Tamandua tetradactyla: one gene and its partner. The protein of the gene in region 2 binds, or shares a complex with, the protein of the main gene of each other region. Links are inferred from orthologs where the notes say so. Each region holds a gene or a part of one and is shown on either strand. Other genes may lie near its edges.

The links.
Region 1: the proteins of SCML2 (region 2) and H2AJ are in contact, whole or in part, in a crystal structure (PDB 4EDU), measured with the Homo sapiens proteins. The link is inferred for Tamandua tetradactyla from reciprocal best matches to the Homo sapiens genes SCML2 and H2AJ. Residues at the interface, in NP_006080.1 of Homo sapiens: Asp182, Asn185, Tyr187, Leu188, Cys190, Phe206, Trp209, Phe213, Pro239, Pro240, Gly241; in NP_808760.1 of Homo sapiens: Leu35, Arg36, Lys37, Gly38.

The regions. Positions count from the first base shown.
Region 1 is NC_135333.1:77,350,010-77,355,437, forward strand, and holds H2AJ (histone H2A.J), read left to right. Parts: upstream 1-3,958; 5' UTR 3,959-4,099; coding exon 4,100-4,489; 3' UTR 4,490-4,661; downstream 4,662-5,428. UniProt on the Homo sapiens protein: Core component of nucleosome. Nucleosomes wrap and compact DNA into chromatin, limiting DNA accessibility to the cellular machineries which require DNA as a template.
Region 2 is NC_135353.1:156,474,326-156,481,433, forward strand, and holds the start of SCML2 (sex comb on midleg-like protein 2), read left to right. Parts: upstream 1-4,042; 5' UTR 4,043-4,140; intron 4,141-4,918; exon of another isoform or gene 4,919-5,032; intron 5,033-7,108. UniProt on the Homo sapiens protein: Putative Polycomb group (PcG) protein. PcG proteins act by forming multiprotein complexes, which are required to maintain the transcriptionally repressive state of homeotic genes throughout development.

The DNA of each region.
Region 1 (5,428 bases), on a different chromosome or scaffold from region 2:
AGTCTAGTCCCTACTCTGGTTTAGCCGCACCGCCTGGGCGTGAAGCAGAACGCCCACCTTGGGATGAGGATTCCTACCAACTAGTTGAGCTCCGTCTCAGTACCGAACTGGAGGTGGAGAGCAGCCTGCTTTTCTTGACCCCGCCAGCCAGCAACGTGATCTCGGCAGCCAAGTGCGAGCTCCCAGATGTTCACCCACTCTGCGCAGCTGGCCCAGGGGGAATTGCCCCGCCCGCGAAGTTTGACTAGGGTTGGGCTTCGCTCGCACTTCGCAGCATCGCTGTTAGCGTTTGGACCTAGCTCTCACTCTCAATACATTAGCGAAGCTGCTCTCCATAACAGGTAAATACGGTTCTGATTTGCCGGAAGAGACACTTTCCTATCAGACGCTGAGGCATAAGCCAGACACTGCGGTCGATCGGCGAGGAACCGCATCCAAAGCTTGGGCCTCCCCTCCAACACACCCTTCATTTGCATAATAGTCGCGATATAAGTATTCTGAGGCAGAGGGCTCAGCTGCTTACTCTGCTTATTACTCTCAGAGAGGCTAGGGTAGGAACGTTCCTCCCCACCCCCACCCCCGCAAATAAAAACTACACACAAGAGCGGGGCCTCTACTGCACTGCAACGCAGCTCCCAAGACACATACATCTTAAGCACGTGGCGGTGGGATTCCCGGCCTGGGACCTACTGCAGGGATACCTCCCCTTTTACTCTCTCCATTCTCGAAGCCTCAGCAGAAATAGAGCCATCTCCAATGGTATTCAGAACGGTACATCTTGCGTTTAGGTCAGACACCCGTGTATTAATACAAAAACGTTAGCAGCTCTTGTTTTCAAGTTTTGAGGGCCCTAAAAAGGACTTTCTGGATTCTATGAAGAACTCGCGGTCACATCAGCCGCCAGAACCTGTGCGTTTTAAAGCGTACACCACATACATGGCTGTGATCGCCTTGCGTTCGGTGTGTTCAGTGTTAAGTCACCGCGTTTTCCAGAAAGACTCGGAGTGCTTGGGTCTCTTCGTAGATAAGCCCAGATATACGTTCACGGCGAGCGAAGTCGACGGATCACAAGCCTCGTAATGTCTTGGCTGTTACCCCACTAAACCTTCCGATAGTACTCGGCTCCCCCTTCGCGCAACCCTTAACCTTCTTAGCCTCAGCCACACCCAACAACAAAAAGAAATCTCGAAGCGAAAAAGTAACGACTAGACCCACCAGCCCCAGCTCCCGGCCTTTATTCTCTTGTTGCGGACCTGTTTGAAAACCTCAAGTGGGCGGAGTTTGAGGTCTCACATCCGGAGACTTTTTTTCTCAGAATTGATGAGTTTGTTTTTGTGCAGCGGTAAATTGTGTAAGAAGCACGCAAAATAAGACTGATTTTCTTTTGTTTTGTTTTCAGTTTCGGGAGAAACTTTAATACTTTTGCCATAAATTTGAAGAAATATTCAATATGATATATTTAAAAGTTTTAGCAAAATAAACTAATAGAATTTAGATTACGTTTCCTCAACGCTTAAGAAACAGTAAGAGAAGTCCTATACTCTCTAATTCTGCTTTTCAAACAGAATGCTTACTCACATAATGCCATTCCCGAACTAATGTGAAGTAGGAACAGAAAATTTATTACATTGTATTAGCTCTCAAAGCAATAATTTTACAGCTATTTATTTATTTATTCTTTCGTGTCTGAGGATAAATCTGATAATCAGAATTATTTCAATAGGTAGTCTTTCCCTCCTCAGCCCCGCCTTAACCCCCTTTAGAAGGCTCTCACCCCTTTCTTCGTAGAATCCCTGAACGAAAACTAAGCTTTCAATAAAGTATCACTGCTCTTGAAGCGAGACAAAACTCTTCCTCACACATTTTACTACGTTAAAAGGTAGCAGTATTTAAAGGATGATTCATAACTTTGCCAAGTACTTAACATTTCGGGGACTATTTTAGTAAATTGGGCTCCCTGCCTCCAAGTTTGAAGGACGAGCCCTTGCAGAAGGACAACGTCATGGTAAAATTTTATTACATTTTAAAATATTTATAATTTTCACTTGCTTCAATCCTTACCCATCTTCAAAATTCAAAAAGTGCATTTGTGTTCATTATGAATCTAAAGAACACAAGGAAGACTGGATGGCTAAGAAAAAAAAAATCTTGAATAGACAAACCGTACTTCATGGTTTTAATCCTTAACAAAGAGAAAAGAAGACGATTCTCTATAAACCTTGCAGAGATTTGTAACAGTAAAATAGGTTTAATTATTTATCTTTACTCTTCTTTTTAAGAAATTAAAAGAACATTTTCAAGTTAGATATTGGCATTGCTTACAATAATAAAAAGAAAAACCGCGTTCAAAATAATGATGAAAAAAAAATCTAAGAATTTCCCATGATTTTGGTAAAAATTTCAGCCATTTTACAGAACTCGTTTCAGGAACATCTTGTTAAAAATTGCATCAGAGATTTATATGTTCATTTATTCAGTATATCCAACAGTTACTGGATTCTTACAAATGTATTTAATCTTCAATACAACACTTTAGAATAGGTACACAAGCTAAATAACATCCGAAATTAGCTGGTAAGAAAGTGATGGAAGAAGGATTTGAACCCAGGCAGTCTGGCTCGACTGATCGCCGTAACCATTACAATATACTGCTTATTAGCTCCAAAAACATTTAAATAAATCCTACTATGGGTCAATTATTGTGTTAAACAGTCAGGACCTACACATAAATAAATGAAAATTTGAACTTAAATGAAATCAAACCTTTATTAAGATATGAGAGGGTAATTTTTTTTCATTTAAATTGGAACTGTAATCCAGATAAAAATATTTTAATAAGTAAATGTTTAACGTTACATCACGCCAGCAGTATAATTATATAATTGTGGAGAAAATGCTGAGGTAAACGAAAGATTACCGGAAAGTAATTTGTAATAATAAAAAACTTTGTTGCAAATGCTACGGATCTGCAACGTGGATATATAAGGACCGCTGCTGTAGTCCTTTGATGTTTTCACAACCTCTGAGAGCCACAGGGCGGTAGAGGGCTGTGGAAGAAGTTCCTAGCGCCATCGGAAGGTCTTAGGCAACCGTATCCACCTCTGCACTCACAGACAAGCATACCCCGGGCATCTTCATAGTCTTCGTGGAGATGTGATTCACTGCACAACGACCTCCACCGCACAAGCCAAGCCCAAGACTTTCAGCCTCAGCGACTGAGCTGCGCCAATGGCCTCTCCCTGAAAATACAATCTCAAAGAAAAAAAATGTTCAACTCTGGCCAAGCGAGCTTTATTCCTGCCGCTTGTGCGGAAAGCATTCATGTCTAGTTGTTTAAGAAGCCTCGTGGCGAAGATTGGCAGCCTGTGGGTGAGGCGGCGGGGATATAGTACCGTCCGGTGTAGTTAAAATGTCTGGTGGTCAGATTCTTCCTACACCATTTGGCTAAGGGGGGCATCTGGGTTGCAGTGGCTTTGTTTTAAGGAAAAGCCAACGTAGCGTGTACTGGGCTTGGAGAATTCGGTAGGGAAGTTGTGATTTCGCTTGGGGGAACAGCGTTCCCTTAAAGCACCGGCTCTCGAATCAGAAAAGCACCTTGCTTTGACGCCGTATTAAATGAGAAAAAGTCCACCTAGAGAGCATAGCTAGGTCTGGCACAGGGTGCGACCTCCATTGCTAGGGATATCTCGTGCTCCAGCGCTACGTTATTAGTGCATGAAGGAGCTCCCCTTGTGGGTTTTCCCGTATCCAACCATGCTTCCTTAATTCTCAGGACTTTTCTTGGCTAAATTCAGCCGGGTCCCCAAACGCCACCCCACGGTATTCATATTAGAGGCTATGTAAATGAGGATTAGGAGTTTTCCTCTTTTGATTGGAGAAAGCTGGAGAAGGCGGTCCCTCTGCTAACTCGCGAACTGCGAGCAGAGCCTGCCTGCCATTGGTCACTGGAGCCGAGGGATGTTGAGGCGTCCAATGGGAAGGCGCTGCTTAGTGGACACAAACAGGTAGAGGCAGTTCCTGTGTGGCTCGCTGCATTCTCGAGCCGAGACCCAGGTCCTGCGTCGTTTGTCCTCTCTGGAGGCTTGAGTGAGAGCCGAGCATGTCCGGTCGTGGGAAGCAGGGCGGCAAAGTGCGGGCAAAGGCCAAATCACGGTCCTCACGCGCGGGCCTGCAGTTTCCGGTGGGTCGAGTGCACAGATTACTGCGCAAAGGAAACTACGCGGAGCGAGTGGGCGCCGGGGCGCCGGTGTACCTGGCAGCGGTGTTGGAGTACCTGACCGCAGAGATCCTGGAATTGGCTGGCAACGCCGCCCGCGACAACAAGAAGACCAGGATCATCCCTCGCCACCTGCAGCTCGCCATCCGCAACGACGAGGAGCTGAACAAGCTGCTGGGGAAAGTGACCATCGCTCAGGGCGGCGTCCTGCCCAACATCCAGGCTGTGTTGTTGCCCAAAAAGACGGAGAGTCAGAAGACGAAGAGCAAATGATCCCAACGCCGCCCCCTGGAAGCGAGGCTAGCTGGGTTCCCCGGCCAGAACCTCCTTGTTAGCCGTTCTCAGTGTCTTTGAATGTGCTGGGCGTCATGGAGGGTCGGCGCGGTCTAGTGGACATCTAGAGCGGCCCGCCTGGGTCGGGGACCAATAAAGTCGGTGAAAATCATTTGGTCGAGAAAGCTGTGTAGTCGCGGGGATCTGCCGGATTATCCCGAGCCGGGGGGAGGGGGCGGCCGGGAAACTCTAGGTGCAGGTTCTTGTGGTGGGTTTGGGCCACTTTCTGGTCCGCAGGTCCCCTTTGAGCCTTTATGGGCTGAGCAGGGAGATCTGGAGGGACCCACTGGCCCGGAAAAAAGCAGGGTTAGATGCTCCTCGCTCGCCTTAAGGCAAAGGAAGAGCCGAAGTAAACGTTCAAGCGGCGGGAGGTATTTTTTTTTTACACCCCTTCCCTAGGCTTTTAACTTTTTAGTGCTATCTGTGGGCGGTTCAAGGCCCAGTTGTCGGAAGTGGACCAAAGGCCCGAGCCCTTCCCGGGCAGGAAGTTGTCTCTGGGGCCATTTTCACTTCACTCCCCGTCCTTTTCAAAAGGTAGAGTAACTTATGTCTTCCAAGGGTGGTGGCTTTGATGACGCGCCATCAACTTAAGAAATTAGCCTGATGACTGTTGTGTTTTTGGGTGTTGAAATTCAGACACTTTTATTTAGCACACTTATGTTTGATTCGCGGTTTTTTGTTTTGTTTTGTTTTGTTTTTTTCATGAGGGGAGCATACCGTATACAGAATCGTGAGTCATGAGATGGGAAATTCGTATCCCTCGCATTCATAGGCAGAACTGAAGCACCTATCAGCATTGCAAATGATTTTCTTAAGTTTCTGATTTAAGTAGGGTCTTGACGCCATCATATTGTACTCCTTTGTAATCGGTTTGCTTTT
Region 2 (7,108 bases):
AAGAAACATCAATATAATGATTCAGCAGTCATACTCATTTGTTAAATCCTAACTTCTCTGTTATAACTCCTTCTTCTCCTTTGATCCTTCTTCCAATCTTTATGGGTATTTGGATTATGCTTATCTTAATTTTTTCATATTGGAAAGGGGTGTTGATAATATGGGATGGGGGAGGAACTAGTTGATGTTCTTCGAGAGGCTGACTCCTCTGGATTTCAGGATTTATCTGGCCTAAGAACCCAACTGGAGGTTGTAGTTTTCTGGAAAGTAATCTTAGCACGTGAAAGTTTTGGAGAATATCAGATAGAACCCTAGGTGTTGCTTAGGGTTAGCAGGAATGGTGCTGGTTGGGGTTTGACAAACCATGGTAATTAGCAACATCTAGCTGAAGCTTGCATAAAAGTGCCTCCAGAATAGTCTCTAGACTCTATTTGAACTCTCTTAGCCACAGATACCTTATTTTGTTACATTTCTTTCCCCCTTTTGGTCAGGAAGACATTGTTGATCCCAGGGTACCAGGGCCAGGTTCATTCCTGGGAGTCATGTCCTACTTTGCCAGGGAGATGTTCATCCTTGGATGTCATGTCCCACATAGGGGGAAGGGTAATGATTTTCCTTGCAGAGTTGGGCTTAGAGAGAAAAATGCCACATCTGAACAACAAAAGAGGTTTCCTGGAAGTTACTCTTAGGCATAACTATAGGTAGGCTTAGCTTCTCCACTACAGAAATAAGCTTCATAAGAGCAAGTCTGAAAATCAAGGGCTTAGCCTATTGACTTGAGAGTCCCTAATGTTTGAGAGAATATCAGGGGTTTCCCTGGTGGGAAAGTTTAATAGTTCCATATTTTGTCTCCAGTCCCTCAAGGGTCTTTTCCAATACTTTTTAATTATCTGTGTAACATACCCTGGGATGCATCTGGGTATTACATTAAGCTATACAGAATTACAAACCCTCATTCCCATTCTGAGCCCCATGTGTTTGGGTTGTTTAAATGTTCTATCCAGACAGATTGAGTTAGATTATGTGCTACAGAAAACTTAGGTTTTGGACAAAAGAAACCTCTCTTCCTTTGGTCTCATCCAATAGGTGAAGTTCTAAAATACAGACAATGTCACCTTACCTGTGTATTCTGATTTTCCTTAGTCCTGACCTATTGGCTTTGTTCTTATCTTTAATCTGTTTTTCGGTTTCTTTAACAGTTGTTGTATGTAGCAATGCTGACTTTCAGAGGCTCAGAACTCCAACTCTGAGTCTTAGAGTTGGAATTTAGTACCCAGAGTTTCAGGGTGATACCAGGTTATACACATATAGCATAGCATCTCAAAATCTATAAATAACATTTACAGCTCTGAACTAAATGTGACTGCTATAAGAGTTTACAGTCTAGGCCCCAATTTTCTTATAAGTATTCTTAAAAAGAGACCATATGCTATTTGTTCTTTTGTTTCTGGCTTATTTTTCACCACATAATGTCTTCAAGGTTCATTCACCTTGTTGCATGCCTCACGACTTCATTCCTTTCTGCAGCTGCACAATTTTCCATCATATGTATACAATACAGTTCACTATTGTACTTCTCAGTTAATATATCCTTCAGCCACCTCTACCCATTGGGTATCATGGATAATGTCCAAAGTAAGCAATCCCTGTCTCACATTATCTTCAGTTGTACAATCAACACTCTCCAATTTTAGGCAATTTCCATTGCTCCAAAGAGAAAAAATAAATGATGAACATACCCTCACCAAATACAAAATCGAAACCTCCCCTTAACTTTTGTCCTCCCCTCCCAATTATTTACTGCTGGTATTGCTGTGGTACTGTTGATGTCTTCCTGTTAAACATAGCAGAGTCACACTTTAATAAATGCACTGGTGAATACAGTTCCTGAGAAGATATTGTTCTTATCAAAATAAGGCAGAATATGTTTTTAGAGAAAGGGCTTCAGTAATTTAATTTTAAAAACAGAAATATAGGAAGCAGATGAAGCAACAGGGGCACAGGCAATTTAGCAATCAGGTTTTCCGACAATTTAATAAAGGGCACATACATATAAAAAGGGATGAAAACGATAAGCCAAATCTTTCTTATACAGAATGTAGAGATGAACTTCGAATATTTTCATTGCGTTAGGATTAGAAAGACGGTGACTACTAATAAATAATTTAAGTTTCTCCAGCCCTGCTATTGCCTATACCAAAGGTTTGCTTGCATTAAACCTCTGCTTAATTTCTTCCTATTGAAGATATCTGTTGGGGATTGAATCATGTCCCCCACAAAAGGCATGTTCAGGTCCCAAGCCCTCGTCCTGTGGGTGTGAACCCATCTGTCAATAGGACTTTTGAGATGTTATTAGTTGAGGTGTGTCCAAACTGTATGAGGGTGGGCTGTAATCCAAAATGGGTGAAGTCCTCATAAAGTAAAGAAAATTGGACACAGAGCAGTTAGAAGCTGGAAGTCAATATAATTTGGGAGAGAAAGTAGAAGATGCCACCATGTGTGCTGACGTGACAGAACAGCGAAGGAACCCCAAAGATTGCCAGCTGGCCAGAAGATACCAACCATGGGAGGAAGCAAGCCTTCTAGCCTCTGAACCTGTGAGCCAACTCATTGTATGGTATTTGTTTTAACAGCCAGGACACTAAAACAGTTGTTTTTCTGCTTATTTAAGTTTGAACCTTCATCTTAGACCATTTCAACATTCCCTGATATGTGGTATGTATCATACAGACGATATGGTCAAATCTCTTTTAGTATTTGCATACTATTGGCCTAGTTTTTCTATTTTTGCCTTAAAGTCTACTCGAATTTTGCATCAGCATTTATTTATTCATTTTTTGAAGGATTCAAGAACAATCAGAGCAATTCGCTTTTGCACAGTTCACCAATGTTCAGATACAATAAAAAAAACTACTACCTTTAATTTTGCTTTTGTTTATTACTGCAAAAGGTGTGTATGGAAATAACTAACTTCATTCTGTATTGTAGAAATTGGCTATGTTCTGCGAGGTTTTATTTATTTTATTTTTACATTTTAGTCTCTGGTTTCTGAATTATGATTTAAAAAGCACATCATACCCTCTAAGTTAAGGTGATCATTGATGCAAAAACTACAGCCAGCTTTTAAAAGTGTTGTAGAAACAGAAGGCTGGTCAATGGTTTACTTCCAGTTAACATAAGCACATTGTATTATTTTCAAACAGAAGTTTTAAATCAGCTTATACCCAACTTCACAGCAAGGGATGTGATGTCTTTCTCGCGTTTTCTGTTTGCTACGTTTTGTCCTGGGAGATTCATGGGCGATTTTAGGGCTATTTTTATAGCACCCCCCCCCCCCCCGTGCGACCTCCATTTGCGAAATTGGCTGCAACCTGGGCGAGGGGTATCCGGCAAAAGGGACCCCGAAACGGACCCCCGAGGGCGCTCCCGAGCACTTTCGAGTAAGTGAGCAAATTATGTCCCTCCACCCCACAGGATTAATCTGCAGTTCATGTTAGCTCAAGTCTGGGTTTAAAGGAACAACCAAATCCAGAAAGCGGAACTAGAAGGGGAATGCGTGAAACAAAACTACGGAGAAAAAAGCTGTTTCAAGGTATATGCAGCAACACTTGAGCTGCTTTAACCAGCTGCTTCTCCCCTGCTCCTCGAATTTGGAGTTTTAGGACAGCGCCTGCTCTTTGGATACATGGCCAGGATGGGCGGTGGCCAGGATATGAAGGCGATGGCGAAGGGAAGCGGGATGGACACTTGACGCGGACCCCGGTGTCTAACTTGGGCAGTCTTGGGTGCAAGGAAGCAACTAGATTTTTTGGAGGGCGTGGAACTGGGGGAACTGACAAGGGCTTTCCTGGGCTCGCAGTCTTCTGCGCCGAGACACCCGAGGGCGTCTGCAGCAGTCGCCTGGCGGCCGAGCGCTTCCGGCTCGCGACTCAGCACGCGGTGGCGGTCCTAAGGTGTGCTACCGACAACCGCAGTGCACGCGGGCTGGCCCGGCCGGGGGGCGGGGCGGCGGCGGCGGTTGCGGGGCATGCGCGGCTTCGCGCGCGGCTTCTCAAACATGGCGGCGGCGGTGTGAAGTCCGTTGCCGGCTCGCGGGACTAGTGTGACAGAATTTCGCTTCTTTGGACTCCGAGACCCGAGGTGCGTGGCGACTCCGGTCTCCGTGAGGAGGAGGGAGGCGGAGTTGTGGCGTCCGGTCCCCCGGCCGTTGACCGTGGGCGGGCGGAGGGGAGACTTCGGCTGCGCGTCCCGCTCGAGGAACGCCCCCTCATTGCCCCGCGGGGGTCTCGTTTTAGCTCGGCCCGGTGCCCTCTTCTCCCACCCATGAGACTTTTGCGGCTTCCCTGCCCCGCGTAGTGCCCTCCGTGGGCACCCCGAGGCACCTCTGGCGACGCCCCTCCTTTTTTCCTGGGGCCCCTGTCGCCCGGCGCGGGCCCATGCCGCCCGCGGCGTTTGGGAGCCCTGCGGCTCTCCGCAAGCGGCGCCCTTTTCCTCAGCGCGGACAGCGCCCTGTAGCGCATCCGCCCCCCCCCCCCCCCCCGGGGGCTGGGACCGGGTAGGGACCGGGGCGGCGGTGAGCGGCCCGAGAGCTTCGCGCGCCAGGGTTGGGGAGCAGGAATGACTTTGCGTGGTCTGGATTGTGAACGCCTTGGGCTCCTTCCGGGGACTTGTGAGGTAAACTTTCGGAGTTTGGGAGGGAAACGTCAGCTCGGAAGGATGCGCGGATCCCGGTGCCAGGGGCGCGGCAAGGCCTCGCGTGAGGGGCATCTAAAGTGGGGGGCAGCGGACTCGCGGGGCTAAGCGGGAGGGGAGGGCGCGCCCCGCTGGGGTGACGAGGCGCCCCGACTCTCCTGAGGAGCCGCGAGGTGGCGGCGGCGGCGGCGGCGTTCCCTGGCGGTTAGACAGCGAGCGGCTGAGGACCATCGCTGCCTAATTTAGAAACAGCCCCGAAATGGTTCCTTACCTTTCTCACTTTTCCCCCCTGCTTGGTGGTTGTGCTCATCCTTAGTATGGAGAGCCACTGGTAGAACGGGTAGGCAAACTTTATAGATTTTGCGCCTTAAGGTTTCGAGTGGTGAACTGTGTAGCTTACTTGTTTGCTTTTTTTTGCTAATGTTTGGGCAGTACAGGTTTTTAATTTCAAGTTCCCAGTTAGGTCTGTTGAAGCCTTTTAATGGGTTACAAAACATCTGTCACGTTACAAAGTATGATTACACTTTAAAATTTGCCTCTATTTTGAAGAATTAGAAAATTAACATTTATGATTTACTTGTAAGGTGACTTTAGGACAACATCTCTAGAAAGTGAATGGGTCGATTAGTAGGGGTGGAACTGAGGCAGGGAAGTAAGTAACTCGCTTGTGAGCATAGTATTTACAAAATTGTTGGGGATGAGTTTCTTTTCCCAAGCAACTCTAGATGTTGCTGCATTTTTAATGTCTCCAGACTTATTCATGCTTATGTTTTGGGAAAGGGCCATATTATAAAAAGATGTATGTCGTTTATGGAGTGCAAATTCCAGTGACAAGATACTATAATAATAATTCATAGACAACACTTTTGATTTATTTTTCCGTAGCAGTGCTTGCGAATATTCTTTAGTAATGACAATTTTTGCCTTCCTTGCCATTTTTTTTCTTAATTACTCACTAAATAACATATTTCCAACTATGAATGTTCTTTCAGGCTGTTTGTGTTTGCTATGTCTGTTGAGAAGAATGTGAAAATAAGCTTTTGTAAATGAGACCAATTGAGATTTTTGAGAAAGAAGTACATCATGAGCATTCACCTCATGCCTTGTATAGGTTTTGCCATAGCTTTAGCCATAACTTTCAAAACAGTCTGATAGAAAACAACACATAATCAAACATCATTTAAAATGGCTTTTAAATTTTTGAATAAACTTCATAAGTATCATGCAACCTTACAAGCTTCTTAAGGGTTGTATATGTGTTTCCCTCAGAGAATTTGATTTGCTTTGGAAGTTGTATTTAATGTAATTGAACTACATGTGTGAAGATCCTTTAAAGGTGATAGTGCCATAATATGTGCAGAGAACATTGAAGACAGTCTTAAAGACGTTGTGTCAGTTTTTCCCATGAGGGGGGTTGGTCAGTCTTTGTGATTTTATTGTTCAATCATGCATCTTTATTAAGTGCTTATGCTATGTATCGAATAGAGTTCAGTTCAGGGAACATTTATTCAGAGCCTACTAAGTGCTGGGCACAGTGCTAGTTTCGGAGTGTTTTAACTTTTCTGAATAAACAGTAGTTTATTCCTGAAAAGTTCAAGGTTCTAGCTAAGAAAATCAGTATGAATGTGAAACAAGTATTCCTTTTAGTTAAAGGGCAAACTCAGGGAGTCAGTACTTTTGTCATTATTCTCTAAACAAAATTCTTGGTGCAACTGAATTATTATTTCTGACTTGTGTGATATTAATTTTTGTGTGATATAAATTATACATTTGTATGAGGGATTATTTTCTGGGTCAAATAGATAACGTATTGGTTAGCCTAAAGGGAAAAAATGAGTTACTAGCACAATTGAAATCAGTGTGTGCTCTGGAGAGTGCTTTTTTTTTTTTTCCCCCAAATGCTAAGCAACCTTACTTTCTATGACCAAGTATTTTAGGCTGGAACTGGACTTTTACCTGATATTTTAGGACACTTTTATTCAAAATACTGAAAAAAATCTCTTTGCACTTAAAAATAGCAAATAAAGGTTATGATGGTCAGCTATAAGCCAGATGTCACTCTCATTTTCTTTTGGGTTTGTTCCTTTTTAGCTGCTTGCCTGTTCCTCCCAGATGCTTCCTATCGCCCCTCTTCCTGCCCCTGTTCCCTTTGCTGTTGGTGTCTGTTTCCGCATCAGTGAAATGATCAGGGTAATCCTGTGTGCCTCACTGAGGAATAATTGATGATGGTAAAGTGCCTTGAAAAGATTGAGTAAATACCAAGTCTTTTGAATGAGGTGACGTTACCACCTTGTTCCATTTAGGGAGCTTGCAACTTCCAATGTTTCTAGGCTCTCGGGGGAGAGGGGAGAGAGAGGAAGAAAATTTTACTTTTATATTTTACCACTGCTCTCTTTAGGTTAATGGAAATTATTAT